2 linked regions of the Rhinolophus ferrumequinum genome follow. The protein of the gene in region 2 interacts with the protein of the main gene of each other region in a pairwise test. Links are inferred from orthologs where the notes say so. Each region holds a gene or a part of one and is shown on either strand. Other genes may lie near its edges.

What was found.
Region 1: the proteins of CDK1 (region 2) and CDKN3 interact in a two-hybrid assay, tested with the Homo sapiens proteins (2 studies listed by BioGRID and IntAct). The link is inferred for Rhinolophus ferrumequinum from reciprocal best matches to the Homo sapiens genes CDK1 and CDKN3.

The regions. Positions count from the first base shown.
Region 1 is NC_046289.1:38,742,350-38,754,876, forward strand, and holds the start of CDKN3 (cyclin-dependent kinase inhibitor 3), read right to left. Parts: upstream 5,019-12,527; 5' UTR 4,906-5,018; coding exon 4,897-4,905; intron 2,743-4,896; coding exon 2,660-2,742; intron 1,348-2,659; coding exon 1,292-1,347; intron 778-1,291; coding exon 733-777; intron 1-732. UniProt on the Homo sapiens protein: May play a role in cell cycle regulation. Dual specificity CC phosphatase active toward substrates containing either phosphotyrosine or phosphoserine residues. Dephosphorylates CDK2 at 'Thr-160' in a cyclin-dependent manner.
Region 2 is NC_046299.1:41,133,960-41,147,001, reverse strand, and holds the start of CDK1 (cyclin-dependent kinase 1), read right to left. Parts: upstream 5,176-13,042; 5' UTR 5,042-5,175; intron 5,040-5,041; exon of another isoform or gene 4,940-5,039; intron 3,112-4,939; 5' UTR 3,087-3,111; coding exon 3,050-3,086; intron 1,295-3,049; coding exon 1,138-1,294; intron 225-1,137; coding exon 101-224; intron 1-100. UniProt on the Homo sapiens protein: Plays a key role in the control of the eukaryotic cell cycle by modulating the centrosome cycle as well as mitotic onset; promotes G2-M transition via association with multiple interphase cyclins.

The sequences.
Region 1 (12,527 bases), on a different chromosome or scaffold from region 2:
AGGAAAACATTTTAAGATTTACAAAATTTATACCAGTCAGAATCAAGCAATATATACATTTTTACTTGATGTTTTATAAGGACATTGGTAGGACTACTAGCTTTGAGATATTCCAGGCAAATCAGAATAAACTATTTTGAAAATTCAAGTTTTTTAGTATCATGCAATATGTAAATTCCAAATTGGGATAGATTATCAGGATGTTTCTGGGAATTATTAGACTTGAGGCTGTAGTGGTATGCCCTTGGACATGAAAAGATCAGACAGCGCTCCGTCTTCCCCACCTAGATGCTGGTGGGGAATTTTTCTCTCCAGGATGGACAATTTCATTACCACCTCTGGGTTCCCAGCTCAGGCTTAATTTCTGCTACCACAGTCGAGTCTGTAAAGAACAGCATGTTCAAAGATTTGGGGAGTGCAATGTCTATTTACAAGTTTTCTATTTACAAACTTTTCTCTCTGCAACTTATACATTCTAAACTCATATGCAGTTTCTATATGTAACTACAACAATCAGCAAAAAGCAGCATCATGTTTAGTAAATGGTGAGTTCTCTGTGCCCTTCACAAATACCTCTTCACATATTAGAACAAGTCTATAGTTTGAAATTTTACAAAATATCAAACATGTATTTGGTATATTGAGAAGAGACTATAATTTGTTCTTTTTGACAGAGATTTTCAGTGTTATTAAAAAAAACCTATTAATACGGTTGTTTCATACTATACTTACCTGTATCTTTTTGGCTATTTCTTCTAATATCTTTAAATTTACAACCTATAAGTAGTAATAAGAAAAGTGAAAAAGATAGTTTTAGGTCATATATAACAAGTATATCTAAATACATATATAGCTACTTTAGAAAGTCATTCCACATGATCACTTATATGATTAAATTCCATTTTGAATGTGAATTTCAATTTCTTATATTCTTAGGAATATAATCCAGGGATTTATAGATCCCAGTTGAAGGAACTCCTAATGCAAGGATTTTTTTATTCTGTGTCCTTTCTGTAATAATTACCCAGCTATAGTCCTCAGCATCACATTGTACCCCAGTGTTTACATTTTATTAAGATAGGTAAATCAGAAATGTAGAACTGTGAATGTGGATCTGGAAGGCTTGAAGAGTTGATCTAAGTTCCCTTTATCTATGACCCACCATGAGGGCTTCCCATGCTGATGGTCTGTGAAAATTCTCCTATTGCTCAGAATGATGTGTTAACTGACAAAACAACAACTACAAAACCTTTAAATACATTAATAAGAAGCCAACTGTAGTGTTACCCACCTGGAAGAGCACATAAACCGAGAAACTGAGAACAATTCACTCGTGACAGGGGTAGCCTGAAAAGAATAAAACTTTATCAAGTTTAGTTCAGTTTTTAAAAGGTTATAAATGGAAATTCAATTTAACAAATATGTCTGCTTACCACTGAACATGGGTGTTTTAAAGTTTTATAGTAGTGACAAAACAAAGATTCATAGTTAAATATCAATGTGTTGGTTACAAAAAGGCCTAAAAAGACTGAAAGTTTTGAAACAGACATATCATTTGCTGTGTTATAATTTAAGTCTTAAAAGTGGCAGGTTAATTTAAATTTACCTTAAAAATAATAATGCCTAGATTGCCTATAGCTATTATACAGTGTACTTAAGTTACCCTGTGGAATGTTACCTGAGGTTTTTTTGTCTTAGTAACCTTAGGAAATGAACTGGAAAATGACCATATGACAATTTCATCCCAAGCATTCATTCCACATTACTATTTTAAGATTTCTTTGTAGAACTTCCTTAAACAGATATAATTTCATATGATAAAAACCACAGGCCACCCATCTTTGTTGTAATGGATTTGAATAAAAATGAAATAATTTAAAGAAATCATATTCCCAGTTTTCAGTACTCAGGGACAAAGCAGGCAGAGGCTCACCTTGTCTGCAAGACAGAAGATGAGTTTAGAGGAAAACAGGGGGCAGCATATAAATATCACCAGAATTTGAAAGTCAGACGAGTTTTGAGTTTAAAAGGGGAGTTAGAAAGGGCAATGAAAGATAATTGTTATTTAATAGCAAAACAAAAACCTTCAGGAACAACACTTACACTCTTTTTCTCTTCCTATAGTAGGGAACGGTGCTTTCTTAGATTATTACATTTACAGGGATGAGAGAAAGCATTTGATTGTTGGTTGTAGAGATTCTTGTATAACCAACCATAAGTCACTGCCAAGATTTGGAAGCCAATTTTATATAGAAACATTAGTTTTTGTTATTGTATCTATGGTATGTGGCTTTTATCTTAAACAGTGTCTGCTGATAAATACATTACTATGGCAAGTTCTAAGATTTGACTAAATGATAAACAATTAAATATCTCATCCTAGGTTTGATACACTATTCTTTTGTCATAAAAGAATAAGTAGGTTTTGGTACTAAATGGGAGATCATTACATTCCTATCTCAGCTCCTTACTTGTTTCTACTATGGTTTTCTCAGGGCATAAAGAAGGACCCATCCTCCAAAAAGCCTAATTCTATCATACATAGTAAATAAATCATGGAGTTAGATAATCCTTTAAGATTAGAATTATACAATCAGTGGAAGAAAATCATGAAATATTTTCAATATGTGGACTACAAAGATCAGAAATGTTAACATACCATGATATCTGAATTGGAGTCTGCTCATCTTCAATAGGCTCTTCATCTGAGGAGTCAAACTCACTTGTTTGCAATGAACCAGGCTTCAAAAGAAATCAGTTATGTTAAATAAATGTAAAGAATATTTACATATAGTCTAATTATAGCTGATCTCTGCTTACACACACACTAAATGCATATTTGCAATTTATTCAATCTGGAATATCAGAGACATCAGCAATATCAATAGTAAATTATTGCTATTTGCCACCTTACAGCACTATATAGTGGAAAGAGAGTTGGATTGGAAATCAAGAAACCGGGCTTCTGGTCTTGGTTCTGCCACTTACTGTATAATCTTGAACAAACAATGGCAGTTCGTCTGGATCTCAGTTGTACACAACTATAAAGTGAGGAGGTTTATTCATTCATTCACAAACATTTCTTGGACACCTTCATTTGTCAAGGTCTGGAGAGCGAAGATTCATAAAATAAATAGCCTACCTTCCATATAGTTGGAGACACAGATGTGTGCACAGATTGAAGAAGAAAGTTGTAAGAGCTAAAATGGAAGCATAATCTATGTATTTTTGAGCAGAAAAGGGAATGACTAAGGGTGCTAGAGAAAGCTTTACGGAGAAGATGCATTCGCCGGGTTTTGAAGAATAAGCAGGAGGTTTTAGGCAGATAGGGAAGAAGTTAAGGCAATTAAGGCAAAATGAGAAAGGGCTTGTGTATTTGGGAACTGTGTTAGAGCAGAGATGAAGCTAGAGATGTAGTTTTGCCTACCCCATTTCTCAAAACATGGCCCCATACAGCCTAATAGTTTGGCTGGGGGAGGGAAGGAGTATAGGTGGAATAACCTGGCCCCAACTTTGTGAATCATTGGATTAGAGAGATTGAGATGGACTCTATGCTGATCTAAGGAGTTGGAACTCAATCCTGCAGGCAATAAAAAACACATCTTCTACTCCCTAGTTGGAACCAACAGACATAAGATGCCAGAGATGCGAACGGAGATCAATATATTAGTTTTATTACTGAGTATCAAATGGAGGATCTGGCTTTAAAGCTGTGGTCCGGTGGGCTTTTCAATTCGTCACTCTAGAATTGGATTTATCCACCCACTAAGAGGCAGCCAATGACAACCCAGAGCTCAGTGTGGCAGAGAGCACTCCAGAAAGTACTCTCTATGTAGAGAGACCAGGGAAAAAAGGGTGGAGCTACTTGTGTTCAGCTCCTCCCAAACTTGAGGATCAGATCACTCACTTTTCCCTTTCTGGGTACAAATAGAGAAAGAGGTCAGGAGGGAAAAACAACTGGTGTCCCTCCATGTGATAACATGGGGATTAGTTCATTGTAACCACCTAATGTCCCTTCTAGTTCTGAAGCTATATTCTATAATTGTTTTGTTTGTTATTACAAGATCATATTACAGAGCCAAATTAGGCTACGGATTTGAGTTGCTTTGGATCTCTCTGTATTATTATTATTAACTCAACTCAAATGAAGGCCCTTCAATAAGGTTGTCAACCTTGGTGATGGGTGATGTGAGTCAGGTAGGATTTCAGCTCCTTGCATCTGTTTTTTCTTTTTCTCTTTCTCTTTAAAGCAGTTTTGATGATTCGAGATTTTCAACTTGTGTGGCCCACTCACTCAGGCTGTTTTAGCCAGGTTTACAAATCCTAAGTTGGACGTTTTCGCTTTCCCGGGTTCAGGGATTCTGAACCCCAGGGAAAGGCGCACAGTGCCCTCTGGCCCTGGGGGGCGGGGGGATGACAGTGGTGACAACACCTATAAGCGGGGGTTGGCAATCGTCTTTCATGAATTTTTCCTCGTCCATGGTGAGGACTCCTCCCCAGGGTCCACTGGGCAGCCCTGGACAACCTTTGAGGCTGTGATATCAGGCAGACTGATACACAGAAACAAACTCTCTAAGCCTCAGTTTCCTCTGTAAAACGGGGCTCAGCCCTCACTGGCAGGGCTGTCGTGAGGCTTAGGAGACCCCGCAGGCGACAGCACATAGCCCAAAACAGGCGCACAGCAAATGTCCATCTTCCCCTCGTCCGCCACCGACCCCGTTTTTTCACAGCCATCGCTCTCTCCAGTCCTAGGAAGCGCCACCTCCCCTAGCCAAGACGGTTGTTCAGAGAGGCATTCCGCGACTAAGCCCGGCCTGTGTCCCCGGGCCCAAGAAATGGCCTTAGGACCTCTCGCGTCCCTGAAGCTTCTCTCCTCCAAGCCTCGACCCAACTCACCGGCTTCATCGCTGGTTTCCCCACGTCGCGACCGGCCACCGCCTCCCTGGGGCAGCACCCCCGTCTCAGCTGCCCCGCGCCGAGCCCGTCCCTCGGCTCAGCTCATTGGCACATCCCTCTGTGAGGTGGAGCGCGGCGTCTTCTAGGAACCAATCACACCCTCTCCCCGTTTCGTGCTCCGCCCCGGGAGGCCCTGGCTCGGCCTCTAACCCCTCATTGGTTCCTAGGTGGCTTTTGAAAGACGCGCGGGAGGAGAACCCCGTTGAATTTTGATTGGCCGAGAGGGCGTCCAACTCACGCCAGTTGGAATCGTGGAGGGGGCGGGGAGCGGGGCGGAGCGAAAGTGTCTAAGCGCAGCCGCAGCGCTTTGCGGATGCTGGAAAGGGGTGCTTCCTCATGGCAGGACTTCCAAGTGGCATCAGAGTAGGGGATTCTGTCTGTTTTCTTTAAAATTTTTTGTTTTGTTTTGAGGGCATGGTGGATAGGAGGTGGAGGAGAACTGTCCAAGAGCATCTTATGAAAACACACCACATCCCATAGGCTTTATAATTATGGTCATATCTAATCATACAAATACTATGGAAATGGCTAAAGTCTAGAATACAAATCTACCTCGTATATTTGATAGTTTATGTTCTTTACCATTCCAGGATCTAGACAGATTAAGGTATAGATCAACATTCCTCTTCACCAAGTATGAATGAAATAATATTGTATGAAGGGAAGATAGAGTGTCCAGATGGTTCCAAGTGCCAGTGTTTCTTACATAATTGGCTATAATCTTCAAAATATGTGTTTGATTATTTTCTTCCCTATTTTCCAGTCCCCATTTCTCTGGCTGTGGGGAAGGAAGTCACTTGGTGCAATGTTACCTGCAGATCAGACAAAAGTATGCAGAAGTTTCAGCTCCCTGACTCACATTGTGAAAATAGAGCTATTAGGAATAATTCCTTAGTAAGGAAGATAGCAATAGGATAGATACATAAAGAGATTTATTTTAAGGAATTGACTCCCACAGTTGTGGAAGCGTGGCGAGTCCAAAATCCTATGAGGCAGGCTGGAGGGCTTAAGACTCAGGAAAGAGTTTCAGTTGGAGTTCAAAGGCAGTCTGCAGTAGAACTAGGACTGGTTGATGTTGCATATGAAGTCCAAAGGCTGTCTGATGCAAAATGCCCTCTTGTCTTTTTGTCCTAGTCAGGCCTTCAACTGATTGGATGAGGCTTAGCCACATTGTAGAGGGGAGTCAACTTTACTCAAAGTCCACCAATTTAAATATTAATCCCATCCAAAAACACCCTCAGAGAAACATCCAGAATAATGTTTGACAAAATATCTGGGCACCATAGCCCAGCCAAGTTGTCACATAAAATTAGCTATAATAGACACACTGGACTTGATTCATCCATTCATTCACTAAATATTTATTGAGCACTGTCTGTGTCCTAGGTACTATTCAAAGTGCTTGGAATACTGGAATGAACTAAACAAAGTCCCTGCCTTTATGAGACTCACATGCTGTTGCGGGAGATAGATAGTGATTTGTGCTGTGAAGAAAAATTAAAACAAGTGGAGCCTAATGAGGATGCTATTCTAGACAGAAAAGTCAAGGAAGGCATCTTTGAGGAGACGTCATTTGAGAAACACCAGAATGAAGAGAGTGAAGCATTTGAATATTTAGGGGAAGAGCTTTCAATCTGTCTGAAGAGTAAGGAGGTGCAAAGGCCCTGAGGTGGGAATGTACTAGGTGTGTTCATGGAACCTCAAGGAGGCCAGTGTGGGAGAAGCTGACTGAGTGAGATGGAGAGTGGTAGGAAATGAAGCAGTGCCTTGTGGGAGGCGTAAGAGCTTCTTTTCTGAAGGATTCTAGAGAGGTTCCAAAGAAAGATTAGTTCCTGGGCTCTGGGTAAGGTAATTCATATCTCTATGAATTACAGGGGAACAAGTCCTCTCTGAGTGGGCTTCAGAATGTTGATACTCCCTCACTTCCTAACTTTTGCCTTCTTGCCACTTCTCCCCGTGTTGTCTCCACAGATCCCTTTAATCTTCCCTTCCATTTCCTCAGAACATACCTTCCCCCTCAGAGTTAGTGAAGAACCAGCCTCTGTGTTGTGCAACTTCTGCCACCTCTGGCCTCCAATGAACATGAACACAGTCTCAACCTGTTCTAGCCCTGCTGTTTCTGCAGAGAGGAGAGGATGAGTTCCTATGGTAGGAAGGCAGTGGAAGGCTAGGGTAAACTGGAGCATTTCAATTTCTGTTTGTTTCCTCCACCAGCAGGGCTGTGCCCAGGCTTTCTTTTTAACTAGCCAAAGACAAACACATCTCACCTCTGTAGGTGTTTTTTTTGTTTGTTTTTTGTTTTGTTTTTGTTTGTTTGTTTGTTTGTTTTGGTCTAGGTCAGGCAAACTTTGACCTATGGACCAAATCCCACAGGCCTGTTTTTGTGAAGTTTTATTGGAATACAACCACACTCATGTGTTTAAGTATTGTCTATGGCTGCTTCTGAGCTTTAACGTAGAGTTGAATTGTTGCAATGGGTCCATATGGCCTGCAAAGCCTAAAATATTTACTGTCTGGCCCTTTACAGAAAAAGTTTGCCCACCTCTGGTACATAGTCAATGAGAGAAATATGTATTTCTTCTAATAACATGACTTTAAGTCTACTTCTTGGAAACTAAGACTCCTGGCTTTACCATGCTAAAATGTTTTCCTCTGCTTGGCTTGCTTTCTTCATGATGGAGGGTTCCACATAAACTGACAAAGCTTCTGACTGAGACAGCTGGTTAAGTGGCATCATAATAACTTGGTTTCGCTCTAATTCCCAAGATTCTTCCCTGAGAGGAAGAGTCGGGGCTTAAGTTCAACCTGCCACACCTGTGGTCTTCAGTTAATTTTTTGGTGTGTGACTCATGGCTGTTAACAGAAATGTATGTGGTCAAAACAGTGTGGAAGATTTATCCAGAGAGAAAAGTGTTAACACATGTTCATAGACAGATGAGTGTTTTGAGAGATGCTCAAAGAGAAATGAAACATGATTGCCATCTGTAGTTACACTTGATGTATGTTTTACAACTAGATCCGTATTTTAAAAATATTTTAATATTAATACTAATGGACTTGACATGTGTGTTAGGGAGAGAACACTGGAATCTTAGAGTTAAATACAACTTGGAAAGAATGTACTTCCTCATTCTTGACAAGTTTAAGAATTTCTCTTGGGATGACCATCAGATATAGTATATGACATTTGCAGTAGACATGTGTTATTTTCCCATTTTTTCTCTCTTTGGTGAATTTCCCCTTTCCCATTTCATGTGGTCTTGTTAGGCGTGTGACTGGGACTCACCCATACATGTACCTATTCCTTCCGTCACACTTATTAGTCCAGGGAATACATGTGATCCAAACTGGAGCATACTTCCTGGTCTTGTATGCTTTGATTGCTGGTGCTCTTATTTCCTTCTTTACCTTCCTAAGATTTCTGCTTTATCCCAGAATGATGCTGAGTTCTGATTTTCCCTGGATAATTGGAGTTGATTGTAAAGTTTATTTAAAATATCACTTAAAATTTAAAATGCCATTGCATTTTATCACTGGAATAGGTTGTATTTTCTATAACAATTTCACTCCTCCCACATGTTTTTCTGCAATGTGACTTTGCCAGGCTCCATCACAAGGTGCAGCATAATACTTCTCTTGAATATGAGTTGGACTTACTGTCTAGCTTGATGTAGGAGAAGTGACAAATGAGAAGCTCGATAAAATTTCATACCCATGTAACCAGCAACCAGATCAAGAAATGGAACATTCCCAGCTCCCAGAAGTCTCCTTTGTGTTCCCATTTGCTATTCTGACCCAAGGTTACCTTCGTTTTGACTTCTGAAACCATAGCTTAATTTTGCTTGTTTGGGAATTGTATATAAAAGGAATCTTTCGTGTCTGGCTTCTTTAGCTCAGCTTTATGTTTGTGAGATTCATTCTTGTTGTTGTGTATAGTTGTGTTTGTTTATTCTCATGGCAGTATTCCATTGTTTGAATATACTATACTTTGTTCCAATCTGCTGTTGATAAACATTGGGTAGTTTCCAGTGTTGGCTATTATGAATAGTGCTACTATACATTCTTGTCCATGTCTTTTGGTAAACATATGTATACATTGCTGTTGGGTATATACTAGAGAAGAAGTAGATATGTTCATCCTTAGTAGATACTGCCAGACAGTCTTCCAAAGAGGTTATAGCAATTCACACTTCCACTGGCACTGTGTTAGAATTCTAGCCCAACATCTTTGCCAACATTTGAGATTGCCTGACTTTTACATTTTAGCCATTCGGTGAGTAAGTCGTTTTATTTCAAAGTAGCATCTAATTTCAAATTGTTAATGACTAATACTAATCAGTTGGATATCAGAGAGAATCAGTAGATGCCATTCTTTAAGAGGTAGCAAAGGTTTATAATTTTTAGGAATTTTTAGAAAATATTTCTATATTATGTATTAATTATCATGTGTCAGTATTTTTTCTACATTATTTTTGAAATGCAAGTATCATAGACTGTATATATTTTGAGGGTTCATACCTTCTGCAGACCATAAAACTACTGATATGAACTGAGGGGCCCCAAATTAAGAAGGTTCCCAAACTTAGACAACATCAGTGAACCTCACACTGTGATGGAAGAAATATTTCTTAACTTTCCCAGTCATCACCAGCTTGGGGCTAAAATTAAAGTCAAAATAACCATACTTTGAAATGATATTTCCCTGGTTCTTCCTCTGTCCACTATGTGAACTGTAGCCCCTCTCTATTCTTTATAATAGTTCAGTGGGTCCTCACAGATGACCATGATACAAGAGAAAGGCACCCACTGTCTTTGGCTCTCCAGCTCTCACTTGCTGGAATAATGTCACAGATCACTGCCCACGCCTGACAACAGCCAAGCTGACTACCCACTGACTTCCCACCCAACTGCTGTGCCAACTGCACCTTCTCTGTGGCTGCTGAAATTGCTGTCACAGGATTTTGCTAACTCTTAAATCTTCAATGTCCCACGGAAATTTTAATAAAACAGCTCTTTTTAGTTTCACTGACTTTTTAAAGCCATGGAACCTGGGTCACAGGATGTAGGGTACAGCCAACACTGGGCAACACCATCCCTCCCCTCTGGCTCTGTCTTGATGTCACTGAATCCAGTTTGTGTACTTTGACTTTTCCCTTAGGGTGAGTTCCTTCCCAGGAGTCCCCTAGCCTATCCTGTAAACAACCCTAGCAAGATTATCTCACCCTCTACAAGCTGTAAACAGGCATGTCTGAGTCCTGAGTGCTTGGTCTCAGGCGAGGGTGACTGCATGTCTGGGTTGGCCCGGGTTAGTCCTGGTTTATGACTGTTCTACTGGCATAATTATTAACAGCTCTGTTGCTTTCAAGTTTCCAGGTTTGGCTGGTAAATGATATATGGCCACCGTCTCTCATGCCATCTCTAGGAAAGTTTTCCAGAGGTAGAACAGAATCAACAGCACATTTTAGAACAGTCAAGAAAGAATATGTAGAAAAGAATTTTGAACTCTGAAATCTGGTGTTGGCATTGCAGTGACCTGCCTAGTTCGCTGCCCCCGCGTTTCCTCTTAGCCCCAAGGCTGGCAACCGCTTGGCTCCACCTACAGGCTCTTCTCTGCTCTGGTCTAGATGGAAATAGCTGGAATAGACTGCTATGAAACTCATTTGGAGGGTAATGCTTCTGGTGGGCCCCCCTGGCATGCCCTGTGCCCCAGGTTTTCCTAATCTGGCTTTTGCTGTTTTACTGAGGCAGTTTCTGTTTCATTCATATGTTGGTTTTCAGTGGGGCCCTCATTATCTCTTGCCATTCCCCCATCCCTGGCCTGCCCTGGAGCTGGATGCTGGCTCCTGAGCCTCAGTCACATGGGTCTTACTGTCCACTGCCAGCTTGCTCCATGCAGCCTGTCCCACCCTGGTGCCCGCCCTGCTGCCCCCATCAGTGCATTTGTAACCTCTTCTTACACTTGCGTGTGGTTTCCCACTAGGAAGGTGAGGTACCCCATCAGAAAAGGCAGGGGCATTGAAGTCGAAAGACCTGATTGAAGTCAAAAGACTCTGACTTCTAAGCTCAGAGAATTTTCAAGTGAGTTTGTTTGCTATGAATCATTGACCTGCGGCTGGATCAATCTTTGGGAAAATGAGATTTCTGAACTTGAGGAATCAAGGTTCTATTATATTTCAAAGAAGCTGGGGAACAGAGCCTTTAACTGCTGGCTTGATTTTCTACCTTCATGTGAGGAGAAAGCTTGGCCAGCTCCTGAAGCTGGGCTACTCGCCTATCCAAGTTGCTGCAGCCCCAGACAGCTTCTTACAGGGAAGTGTAACTAGACCTTTTCCCCATCTCATCTCATTGGTTTTGGAGAAACCAATTTATGAAATTTGTCGGGAATGGAGGAGAGTCTGATACTCTTACATCTCTGTCTTTCAGGATTACTTAGCTCATTTTCAATCTAAAATAAGGAAAAAGAGCACTATTTTCATCACTTCGTACTGGAGTGAATTCAGAATGAGTTGGAAACATGTATGTTCTAAGCATCCATATTAATGACCTAAAATATAGAACAGAAATTGGCAAGGCCAACCAGATAATAGTTCTGTTCTTCCTGAAATGGGAGATGGCAGCGGAGAAACGTAGTAATTCCGTAAACATCTCCCTCCTGTGCAGAAATCCCCAGTGTGGGACTCAGATCTGATTAAATGAGTCAGGCTTACATTTATTACGGTATATTACAAACATTTTTCAGCATTCAGAAGTGACTGATGTCTCCGTGGATTTGGCCAGTTCCTGGCAATTATGCACTTGGCCGCTAGTGTAAACCAGTGTGCCAAATGCCTGGAATGACGATCCCATGTCTGAGTGGCTTTCAGTCTGGGAAGGATGTTTTTCAAACACCGCGTTCCTTCCCAGGGTGGCCAAATCCTGGTTGCAGTTCTGTCCTTTAAATCTGTTTATTCTGAAACGTGACCAGAAAGGATATGGCCACATCCCTTGCCCCTTTCAGCTTCCGCAGCAAACACTTGGGTGACCTTGCATGGATTTTACAGCGTCTGTCTGCCGCTTAGTCAAGAAGTAGTTTCGCACCTAGTGCCTTAATCAGAAAATCACATTCTGAACATAACATGTCAGATGGATTATTAGAAAACACTGATCCTTTCAGAGACTGTTAAATCTGGAGACCTGGCCAAATCCCAAACTTAGTTATGGCATTCTCTTTCTGAAATGTCCTTCCAGTTTCATTTGAATGGGTATTAACCAACCTGTCCTCAAATGTAGCTGATTCACACTTGTTCTTTTTGCTTCAGCCCTTTGTTAGGAAGAGAGACTGTTGCTTTGGCACGTCCTGGATGGCAGGGGAAGCTGCAGAAAGAAAAAAAAAAACACCCAGACACTGTGGGAACATGAGCAAGGACTATCTTGGCATGTACAGAGAGGACGAGAACTTGTGCTCTATGAGGCAGGACTTTTTGTCTGTCTTGTTAGTGACTGTTAACAGTATATAGACAAGCATCTGGCCCATAATAGCCACTCACGAAGTGTTTGTGGAATGAATAAATCAGTGAATGAATAATTATAAG
Region 2 (13,042 bases):
TATTTCCAAGCATACTGCCACAAAACACAGGCATTTCTATAGAGTAGAGCTTTTACATTCACAGTGGATAATTACTAATAAAATTAGGCAAGCTTCTTACCTTAACAAGTGAAGAATCCATGAACTGACCAGGAGGGATAGAATCCAAGTATTTCTTTAGATCCATGGAAAGGAATTCAAAGATGAGATATAACCTGGAATCCTGCATAAGCACATCTTGAAGACTAAAGAATAAAACAATTATGACCAAAAAAAGGGACAAAAACAAAAACAAATCTAGCACACATTTCTGACCTCTCTCAAAAAATAAAACGACTTCCCTAAATTTCACAGTGGCTATTATAAAAAGTGGGGCTATAAGAAATTTTCTGTAACAAATACATACTGTTTTGGGAAAGAAGAGATGGTAGCTTCCCTAGTGGTGAAAACCTTCACTAGAGCTAAATAAGAACTTCAGAAAGGAAATCTCAGGGCAGCAATGGGAAGTTAAGTTGTATTATACAAGAGTTGCTGTCAAACCACTTATATTCCAAAAGAACATTTTTAGGTTGACTGCTTGTTGGTCAGAGCTTGTCTTTCCATTAAGTAAATTATAAATTTTAAAGTAATACCTGACCTTAATATCTGACCTATCTCCAACCACCCCTCTTTTACCCCCGCAATCAATTAAATCCTAACTTGGACCTTTAGAAAGACAAACCCACAAAACACCAGCCCAAATATTTAAAAAGAAAAAAGAAAACAAATAAACAAACAACAAACAAAACCCTCTTTCTTTTTCATCTGACCTAACTGCCTATCTTAGGACTCTGATGAAGGGATCTTTAAAGACCAGAGCTCTCAGACTGGGAGAGTTAACAAAGCTCAGTGAAAAGGTCTTCCTTTTCGCCCATGGCCAATTAACCTTGATTTTCAGCCCTAAATACTAGTATCTATGACCAAGCTCAAGCTCCTTTACCTCTGTTCCTGCTTTACAGCCTATGCCATACCCAGCATTCTCAATTAACAAAAATAGTATTTTTTTTCCACCCAGTGAGGTTATACCAAAAATTAAGCAAATGTGTAAATTTCCCACATTGAAATCCCCATTTTAAATAGCATGGGGAAAATGGTTAGAATCCAGATATTATACCATACCTGACTATATTTGGATGACGAAGTTCTTTTAATAGAGAAATTTCCCGAATTGCAGTACTAGGAACCCCTTCCTCTTCACTTTCTAGTCTGATTTTCTTCATGGCTACCACTTGACCTGTAGTTTTGTGTCTACCCTTATACACAACTCCATAGGTACCTGAAATAGACAAAACAAACGCCTGCTATGTGACACCCTCCACAACCTAAAGATTCAAATATCCTACCCAGCAATAAGACAGGCATAGAACAGGCATAAAGATTTGGGCTCAGGAAATATTACTAACAGGAGTCACTGTGACACTTTCAGAAAACTCTGTATACAGTACTTTATGCATTTCAAATATATAGTCTATCCTCATCCAGAAAAGAATGGGGATAAAACATTTCATTAAATATTTATTAACTCCAATAAAGGTCACATTATTTACCACATAGTAGAAAAGCTTCAGACCCATTCAGAAGTTGATGGGAACACTGATTCTGATAGTTGGACTTCACAATATCAGTATAAGGGATCTGGGCATGGAAGTGGCAATAAGGGAGATGGATTACATAGTTAGCTAAATCAAGTTCATATACATGGTATACTTAATCCACTAGATAAGTGCTTTTCAAACTGGGGTTGAAAATTTTAAGGAAGTCTTGAGCCGCTTAACTATATGTAAAATTTTATTGAATAGCTTTTGCTATTTTTCTATGACATCAGTATAATTTCAAAAGTGACTAGAGTACATTTTTTTAGGGAGGCTATTCTATAGCTTTTATCAGTTTCTCCCAAGGTAGAAAAAGGTAATGATCTGCCTTAGACATGCTAATCAAACTTATTTTTAACTCAGTAACAAAATTAGTGTAGTTGAATGGGTATAATAAAATTTTTAAGTAAATTTATTTTTAAAAAAATCATATAAAATTTTAAGTTAAAAGAAAGAATCTATCTCCAACCCAATCACCACCCAAACTTGTCATTATTATCTTACTGAATTCCTTCTACTACCTCCCCTGGCTTTTCAATAGTATTCCTATACAAGTAAGGCTTTGGAGCACACTAAAGCTATAGTTGGAAATGTTCCTCAAACAGAACCTACATAAATTAGACTCTAGTAGCAAATTGTAAATTATAAGTTATGTCATTTGTTCCTGGAGAGCTTAGAATGTTAATAATATCAAGACACCTATAAAACGTAAGATATGCTGTTGGTGGAGGAAAAACAGGCAGAGGGATATTTTTATCCCTCATTTATAACATATGGATATATTCTTTAAAAACTTTAATGAAATTACAACAGAAAGAACAAATGATTAGATTATTGGTTTTATTAGGTTCGTGCAAAAGTAATTTTGGTTTTTGCAATTATTTTTCTTTTAAACTGCAATTACTTTTGCACCAACCTAAAGAATAGCTTAAACATGTACACACATCATTTAAACCTAGGGGAACACAATAGAAACTTATTTAAATTAGTGTAATAGTCAATTATTGAAACCAATTCGGAAGATTCAGGTAAAAAGATTTTATCATATTAAAAACAATTGTAGGAGACTAAAAGTGTATTACGAAACTTAACATAATTCTACTGTCCTTACTTCTCGCCCCAACACACACACAAGATATCGCTAGTCTTCTCAAAATACAAATATTGCTTTTTAAGTACTTAGTATTAGAAGAATGCAGGATTATGGGGGAGAGGGGCTGTCAGAGTCATATTAGAATAATTTCAATTCTCTTGAAATGTGAACATTTTTGTTATTTCTTGTGTTTAAGTTATTTATGTAAAGGACATATATATTAATGCACAGTAGTGTAAGATGCTTTAAAGTTTGGATTTTAATAAATATTTACATTTCTTCATGTCACAGATGTTATAGCATCATTAAGTCATTAAACATTTTTTTATTACTGAAAAGCACTCACCTTCTCCAATTTTCTCTATTTTGGTATAGTCTTCCATAGTTAATCAATAGGTATGGTAGATGCTAAAATGAGATGAAAAAATTATTTGATTATATGCCACTAATTCAAAAGAGGGGTTTAAGTTATTAATGAAATACTATATGTAAGGTACTTTCCACAGTGCTTAGGTACAGTATTAACTTTTCATAAATATTAGTTATTGCATTAAAACAATATTTACAAGGGAAAGTACTCCAGCAATAAGACTTCCCCACATTTCTTAACCCCTAAAACACTGGAAATATTTGTATCATATATCAGTGTTTAGCTTCTTTCAATCAAATAACCCCTTAAATTCAGACATCAACTTATCTGTCCTTCCCAAACAACCAGAAGTCTGTTTTCTTATGGAATACTTCTAAGGAGCACCAGTATGTGCCAATTACACCCAGATACTTCAACAAATGCTATTTGACTGAATATTTACTGGTTTATGATTTTGTGAAGATAATTTAAAGACATGACTAGGGAGCTAAAATGTGGTCACACTGCACATTCATTAGATTGTTAAAAGCATAAGTGTTTAAGCTTGCTCAAGTGAGTTTTCTGTTTTTAGCAGTCACATACACAAACATGATCAACACTTTCAAGGTATTTTTTGAAAGAGTAGGAAATATCATTTAGCACCCTAAAAGAAAAGGTGCAATTCCACAGACTAAGTTCTAATTATGCCCTATACAATCTCAAGAACAAGTTTATATACATATAAAATATATATGTATATATGTGTATATATGCATATATATATGCATATATATACACATATATATATATATATATTTTTTTAAATCACAAATAATGGTCAAAAAAAAAAAGCTGAAATGCAGATAACCAGACACTCCAGACTTCCTTGGCTGGTAAATTTGCCTATGAAACATAACTAGAAGAAACCCAAAGCATAATTACCTTGATTTTCTAACACACCCGTCACTGATAACATCATATATAAAGGTCATCTGAATACTCTGAGTAATTGGCCCTTAAGTTCTATTTCTCACTTTCATCTTCAGAATCATTCCACAGAAATAGAGATAAATCTTTTTAAATGAACAAAACTGCACTACACTGGCCATGAGTGTCAACCTTAAAAATTTTTAATTTTACGAAATGGCAATGGATGATTAAGATAATTATCTTTCCTTCAGTATCCTGATTTAATATGCCTAATGCACAATAAAATTGTTGAGCTCATTTAGCTAAAAACTAAGTCAATTTCACAGCTGGGTTCGAGTAGCCTCCCTCCATTTTCCTGCCATAACCATTTTTGAATCAAGGATGCAGCGTTAGGCCTTTTGAATACCTCCGAAGGCTCTCAGTACTACTAGCTGCAGGATGTAAAATACCAATGGACTGGCCTGGAGACCTGGCCCAAGTGTGGTTGCTTCCCACTCCCAGAAGCGAGGGCAGAGCGCACAAGGGACCTAGGACCGAGCCTGGCACTTCGCCAGCGCTCGGTGTCGCGGAGCCAATGCCCGGATTTGGCTTCAACCGCGACCCTAAAGCCTCCCTAGCCAGGTGGGCGGCCTCTTCCAGAGAAAAGCCGACCGCGACCCCAGACCGCAACTCCGAAACCAGGGCAGCCGCAGCCCTCCCCGGCTTAACCCCACCAGCTCTGGGCTCCCCTAAACCTCCCTCTAAAGCTGGGACCCGGCGTCACTCACACGCCCAGGCCCGAGCCCGCAGGTGAAGGCCGGGCCCAGCCGCCGGAGGCCCAGCCTGGCCCCACGCTGCCCAGCCCAACTTCCAAATTCCCACCCAGTTACTCAATACTACCCCTCTGAAGCCCCCGAGCCGACCCCTGTGGACCCCACAGGCATGACCCTGACCCAGCAACACTCCCCGGCACGTTACCCCGTGGTAAAAGGGGCAGCGGTGGCTACCGCGTCAGCTTCTCCCTTTCCTTCACTGCTCCGAGCCAGCTTTGAAGCCAAATGCGAGCAGTTTCAAACTCACCGCTCTAAAGGGTCCCGGGTTCGCCAATGAGGTGGCCCGTAGACTTTCAAAGGAGCCAATCAGAGCCCAGTCACGCTTGGGCGGAGTTCTCCGGTGGCTGAAGCGCGAAAGCAGAAGAAAACGGCGGCTGGAGAAAAAGCAGGAGGGCGGGCGCCAAATGAATCTGCGCGCAAGCGCCGTCCTTCATCCCTGGAGAGCGTCGTCCTACTGTTTCTAGTCATCAGGAACCTACTGATCGGTCTCGGTTGGTTCCCCCCCCTTCCTATATCAGCACAATAAAAATTTATTGTGCACAACTAGCTCATCACAAAAGTGATACTATACTTAGATCCAGATTCCATTACTTTGTTCAAACTAGTGTATAGTTATGTTTTTCTAAATAGATGACTTTTGGGCTAGGCCGAAGGAGCACATTTCAAGAAAATGGAAAACTGAAAGACGTCCTCAACAATGTAAAGAAACATGTTTCTTTTATATATATATATATATCTTTTATATATATATAATTGTTTTTACCTCACTTTTTTATTTTAAATTTTTTTATTTATTTAAAATTTTACTTATTTAAAAACTAAAAACAAAATTGTATTTTTTTAATTTCAAAATATTTTCACATCGGTATTTTAAATGTTATTTAAAACAAATAAACAAAGTCACAATTCTATAAGGGAAAAAAAAGAGGTCTTTAAGTAACCCAGTATCAAACATTCTCTTTCATTGCCCTCCACCATATTCTTAAGAGAGATTTCTGCACTTGAACATCATTCTTAAATCTTCAAGACAATAGAAGAGTAAAACAGAATGTGATAATAAGGTTCCCCTAGCAAGAATTTCTCTTTGCACTGACCTTAAAGGGATGCAGAACAAAGAATGATTACCATGACCTCTACAAGTATATTAGATGACCCAGAATAGGAGAAGCAATGGAACTTCTTTTATCACATACGTGGAGGTGTTTAATACCTTTTTACATAAGTAACATGTATCATCTGGCCCTGTATGTGGCACAAATGCTCAGCCTTGACAACTTTATGCTCCTAGGTGACAGAGGCAGAGAATTTAGAGTGGAGGTAGGGGTCTGAAAAAATCTCTACCTGAACCTAATAAACTTTAAAATGCCAAATTCACATTTTAAATGAAAACTGGCTACCCCCAGTAAAGTACTCTAGGAAAGAAGACTGTTCTCTGCTAGTTTAGGGTACTGATTTTAATGAATGAATATATATCTTTCTCTCTGGGAGGCCTAAGCATGGAATTTAATTGAGACCATCTAAAAACAGGTAGTAATTCATTATATCCACTTTATGTTCAACATAAAGAATACCAGAAGTTTCCACAGGTGTGATGCTTGATTTTTTTTTTAATTTAACTTGATTATCTTTGTTTTTGAAGTTTCAGGGATTATTGTAAATTCATGCTATTGTAAATTCATTTTACAGTTTATTACACATAAGTCTCACTTGTATTCAATGTCTCTACAGTGCAATGCTGCGCTTAAATAGACACAAAAATGAATCAGATACAATTCCTGCTCTAAGTGTGGACGTGGGAGAATACAATGATTACTTAGAATTGTTTTCTGGCACTTATGTTGTAATTTATGCTATAAGATAATGTGAGAACATAGAGAAGGAAATTACTAATTCAAGCAGAGGAAGTGACATTTGAACGAACACTGGAGAAAATAAATGTGGGGTGGGCATTCTAAAGCACAGGAGTTTAGAGTCAGAATCTTGAAGAGCCCTGAATACTGTTATAAAAAGTTGCTGAGGAGAGGTACAGTCTTGGAACTGTATGTTAGAACTATTCTGGAGGTAATATGAAAAAAAGAACTGAAGAAGAGAGGATGGAAAGTCATATGCCCCACAAAATTTCATACTTATATTTTGGTAAACTCCATTTAGAAGGAAAAGAAAAGGTTAGTTGGTACTGCACATGAGGCTTTTGTTTTGCTTTGTTTTTAGATATAAGTATTGCTGTGGACTGAATTATGCCCCAACCCCCAATTCATACACCAAAGCCCCACCCTGTAATATGATGATATTTAGAGACGGAGCCTTTGGGAGGTGATTAGATTTAAATGATATCATGAGGTTGAAGCCCTCACTGTGGGATTAGTCCTTTTATAAGATCTCTCCCTTACTCTGTCTCCTCCATGGGAGGACATAGCAAGAAGGGTCCATCTACAAGCAAGAAAGAGAGTTCTCACCAGAACCTGACACTGCCAGCACCCTGATCTCAGACTTCCGGCCTCCAGAACTGTGAGGAAATTAATTTCTGTTGTTTATGCCACCCAGTTTGAGGTATTTTGTTATGGCAGCCCAAGCAGACTAGCACGAGTATTTTTTCAGATAAAATAAATTCGAGAAACAGTTACTTGTGACTACAATAATCCCCCCTTACTAGCAGTTTCACTTTCCACAATTTCAGTTACCTACTGTTTACCATGGTCTGAAAATATTAAATGCAAAATTCCAGAAAGAAACAATTCCTATGTGAATCCTACCTTTGTCCAGCATATCCACTCTGTAGACGCATCCCGTACCCATTAGTCACTTAGTTAATACCCATCTTGGTTATCAGATCCGCTGTCATGGAATCACAGTGCTTGTGTTCAAGTAACTCTAATTTCACTTAATAATGGCCTCAAAGTGCAAGAGCAGTGATGCTGGCAATTCAAAATGCCAAAGAGAAGCCATAAAGCACTTCCTTTAAGTGAAAAGGTGAAAGTTCTTGACTTTATGAGGAAAGAAAAAAGTTGTATGCTGAGGTTGCTAAGCTCTACAGTAAGAACAAGTCTTCCACCCATGAAATAGTGAGGAAGAAAAAAGAAATCCATGCTAGTTTTGCTGTTGCATCTCAAACTAAGAAAGTGCTAGGGAGCTAGATACCCATATCTCACAAGGCCTTCCCAGGTTGTGCTAAAGGATTTGGACAGGATGATGAAATTAAAGGGGAAAAATGGGAGTAGGGGAGTGACATAGTCAGATATGGGAGTTGGAGAGAAAAGTCACTGAAGAGAAGATGCGAGGAGGGACAGTGAGGTAGCATCAGAGCCAGAAGACCAGTGGAGGGCTCTGCGACAGTCCCAACAGGGGCTCAACTAGAGGAGTGTGGGTCAGTTTGAAGAGGAAGAAGTAACGATGAGCTATTTTGAGAAGCTAGGACTGTAAGACCTAAGGAGTCGATCGGGTGTGATGAATAAGGGCGAAAGACTCATCAGGGATGGCGTGGGTGCGGGCTTGACCATGCGTTGATGCCACTGCCATCTGCAGAGAGGCTAAGGAGCAGTCGTGGGGGTAAAATGCCACTCTGGCCTGTGGATTGTGATGTATCATGGGACAGCCACGTGGCCACAGATGGCCAAAGGCAGATACAGGTTCCGTGAGGCCTGAAGTGTATATCATGTAGGGGCCCTTTTTAAATTAAAAAAAAAAAAAAATGCTAAGTTAAGTGTGATGGAAAATATATTTGAGAATAAAAAATTACAAAATATTAAAAGTTAAAAAATACCATCAAGTCACAAAATCCATTAAAAAGTATTTTATTAATTGCCTGACAGATCTTTATATTGCCTTTGTTCTACATTTGAGGGGGTTTACAATTTTTGGAATCCATATTTTAAATGCTTATTTGTTCACCGAACTGATGAGCTATTTATCTTTTTCTCTTTATATGGCACAATTTTGTAATATTTTCTATTAAGAGAGAAAAGATAATGCAGTCTTTCCTTTAGCATGGTTAATCCAAACTGGCTTTTTATGATTGATCATTTCAAAAAAGTTTTTGTGGCTCTCACATCGTTATTGATTATGTCACATATATTTTTAGCATTTCTGTCAAATGTGAGAAAACATCAAGTTTCTTTCACATACTTGTATGTGTCTATGCTACTACTCTACTCATAAACTTGTGCCTTACAAACACAGGAATTATGCAAAATTCTAATGTGCATCATTCTAAATATTCCAGATTTCAAAAATTGTCTGATATATTTATAATTGTCCATGCTGTGGTAACAAGCGTATTCCTGACACAGGAGAAATTCAGTTTAGATGCGGTAATGATATAATTTTATGCATGTTATAATTGACAGCATTGCCCACAGGTTAGCTTCTCCTCTATTACCCACTTCCCATTTACTTAGAGTTCATATAAAATCTCTGACCCTATCCCTTCATGTCCAGAGGCCAAGAGAGTCAGCTGAATGGATGGGCAGAGTATTCCCAGAAGCCCTTCCTACGTTAGGACTGGTGGCAATAACTTGGAAGTGTGGTGGGTAAATAACTAGATGCCGCTAATCCTAAACTAAATGTATCCTCAACTCAGCTTCCTCTGAGCCAATTCTCACCATTGTTCATGGTCCTGCCGGTGCCACTGGACAGGTGGGGAAGTGTGACTGACGGAGTGTTCAAGTAAAAAGTAACAGTGACCTGAATGGATTGTAATGAAAGTATCTTATTTCATATACTTTACAAACACACAACCCTGTGAGCACCCCTCTCAGAGCCTTGGAAAGGGCCTGTGCCAAGGCAGGACCCTGACACTTAAGTTTCATTAGATTCAAGGTGAATTTAACTCAGAAACTGACAGAAAATTTTATACATATTTGGAACCAGGAGAGATGATCAGGGCTGTTAGATGTTAGTTAAATCTCTGAGATATTTTTGATGCTTTTTATGGATTCCTAATGCCTTTTACATTTTTTGTCACGATATTGTGGATACCTAAGTTAGGCCTTTCTGTCAGAACTAAAAAGTTATTTTAACAAGTAATTCTTTAAATCGTTGTCTTTTAGAGTCAGCCCAATGAAGCGGGGCAGCGGATTATGACTAGATCTCTAATCAGTAAATAAAAGAATTGATATAAAAGTTTGTTTTCCAATAGTGTTAAGCAAACAATCTCCTAGTTTAACTCAATACACCATCATCTGGAATGATACAGGCCTGGGGGTTCATGGCATGAAATATTCTGTTTTATTTGAAATGTTTACTATTCTTGAAAAATTCCAAAGAGCAAAACTATAATCGTATCCTCTTACTGCTAAACTAATATGGGACATAATTTATTTTTTCCTCAAACACGAGGCAGGCACTTTAGTGTCTTATAGATTCCAGGGGCCTGTTTGTGAGCAGTTATCTGACCCTTGGCGGTGCGTCATTTTAGACCAGTGACATGATTCTGAAGTCCGACAGAAAACTCTGTCAGTTCCACTCACCAGATATTTGAATGTCTTCTGTTTGCCTGGCATTATTTGAGGGCTACTAAAGACACAAAGATGAATTAGACTATCTGCCCTCGAGCTTCAGAGGAGGGGTGATTATACAAATGATTACACTTCTTTTATGCTAACGATTTAATTAATTAAATACGTTCCTTCAGCTGGTATTTTGAAACAAGCACACGGGGAATGCAAAGTAATGTCTCACTCAGATCTGCTGTTTCAACATTCGATAACAGGATTAAGCCCAAGCGCTTGTCTTCCAAAACTTCAAAGTGCAGATGGGAACATGTGTAAAAAGAAAAGAATTGCAAAGAAGAAAGTGGACATTGTCATTCAACAAGACAAAACAAAAACGTATTCCTACCCCAGGCATCGTATTTGATTCTTTCCACAGCCAATCCCAAACCACAGATTCAAAAATGAGAGGTAAGAAGAGAGACATTCAAGCTACCCTGACAAAGAGCCTTTCTGGAGGGGCTGTGCTATCGTCGTGGTTAAAAGCTCAGGGTCCAGAGACTGCCTAGGCTCAAATTCTTTTAAATCTTGGCTCCTACCCTTACCTGTGGCTTTGAGAAAGTCACTTCATTTCTCTGTGCTTCATTTACTCACATGATGATAATAATAGTACCCACCATGTTTCCCCGAAAAGAAGACCTAACCAACATCCCCTGAACATAAGCCCTAATGTGTCTTTTGGTGCACAACTTAATATAAGACCCGGTCTGATTTTGGGGGAAACATATAGTTGTGTCATTTTGAGCATAAATGAGGTAAGCCATGTAACATTTACTTAGATCAATGTCCAGCCCACAGTAAGCACTTCACAAATATGATTTTTCCTAATCACTTTGTCACTACCTGTCACAAAAATAGTAGCTATGTTAGTAGATACTGAAACAGAGACTTGAATGGATTGCAATGGGATCACAGAAGAGAGGGGAAAAAAAATCTCTGGAGGAGGTAGATAATGCTTCATTAATGATGAGATCCTTGCCTTATGTTGAGAAGGAAAGCTGATGTTGTCAACTTAAATGGGAATTGAAGGAGAGGAGCCTGGGTAGACCATCCAGACAAAGGGAGCGGCATATGCAACAGACAACAGTGTCAGAGAGGTGCCTGGCTTGCATAGGATTTATTAGGTTGGTGCAAAAGTGATTCCGGTTTTTGCTATTATTTTTAACCTTTTAAACCACAATTACTTTTGCACCAAACTAATATAAAAGGAGTTTGGTAAAGCTGAACCAAGGGTGCATTTGAAATAATTCTTGGAATATGAACACACCATTAGCAAATAGAAATGGGAAAAAGAAGTTGGTGGGGTGGGGATGACCAGGTGGGTTGCATTCTAGGCAGAAAGTGGAAAAGCACAGGGTTGGTTTGGAGAACATCCATCAATGGGATTTAGCTGGAGGGCAGAGTGGGTATAGGGAGTGAAGGGGTAGAAGGATGAAAAGGAGAGTTGCATTCATATTGTGAAGATTTTTGGAAGTCACTGTAGGGAAGTTGATCAGCAGCACTTCAAACAGTCCAGTGGGAACGACTAACGGTTTTTTATTGAGCAGGGGAGTGATAGGATTGCATTTTCCCTTTAAACAGTTTAATCTGGCTGTACTTTCCAGAAAGGATTAATGTGGGAAAGGAGAGGAGCAAGAATACCAATTAAAAGGTAATTTCCTCCACGAGTTTATAATACCTAAGGCTGTGACAAACTCTATAAGGCTGAAATTTATAAACCTGCATATTTGCATGTGTGTGTGTGTGTGTAATCTGCAGGCAATGCTGTAAAGATATTATGACTATGATTCCACTAGAGGGTAGTAGAGACAAATTGATAAAATTGATGAGGCTGCTATCAATTGAAGTATCAAGCCAAGCATTTTTCTTCTTGTTTATACTTTGTAATGACTGCAAGCTTAATTCAATTATTCCATGGCTAAGAAATATATGACAAGTACGTTTAGTGGGTTGTAGCTCTAGACAAGTTAGTAAATTCAAGGTACCCATTTTTAGAAGGCAAGAAAGCTGGATTGGCAAGGCAAGACACTAGTAGACATTTAGCGTTTTTACAATAACCAGTATCTTATTATAGCCTTGAATGCAAACTCTTCTTTTAAATTAAATATTACATCCAAGTCTCTTATTGATTTTAGTAAAAAGAGAAAAAGAACAAGAAAATTGGTAAAATGAATTCTGGTGTGTACACTTGGTTACATAATTTAAGTTGAAAAAAGCATATCTTTGATATACTTATTTACAGTTAATATCCTAAAATATATATTACTGTGTTATATATGTTGCTGTATTTTATACACATAGACACACACCTCCTTTTGGAAAGTAATACAGCAATAAAAAGTTATATACTTTTTTTTAATTTAGTATATCTTGTAATATTATTTTATCACAAGAGAATAATTCTATATAGATAAAAGTCATATACTTGAAACAAAGTTATTACAACAGTTTCTACTGTGTTTCCCGGAAAATAAGACCTAGCCGGACAATCAGCTCTATTGCATCTTTTGGAGCAAAAATTAATATAAGACCTGGTATTATATTATATTATATTATATTATATTATATTATATTATATTATATTATATTTATTATATTATATTTATTATATTATGTAAGACCCGGTCTTATAGCAAAATAAGACTGGGTCTTACATTAATTTTTACTCCAAAAGACACATTAGAGCTGATTGTCTGGCTAGGTCTTATTTTTGGGGAAACACAGTATAATAAAAAATTTTGTGCCAACCTAGATATCTAGTG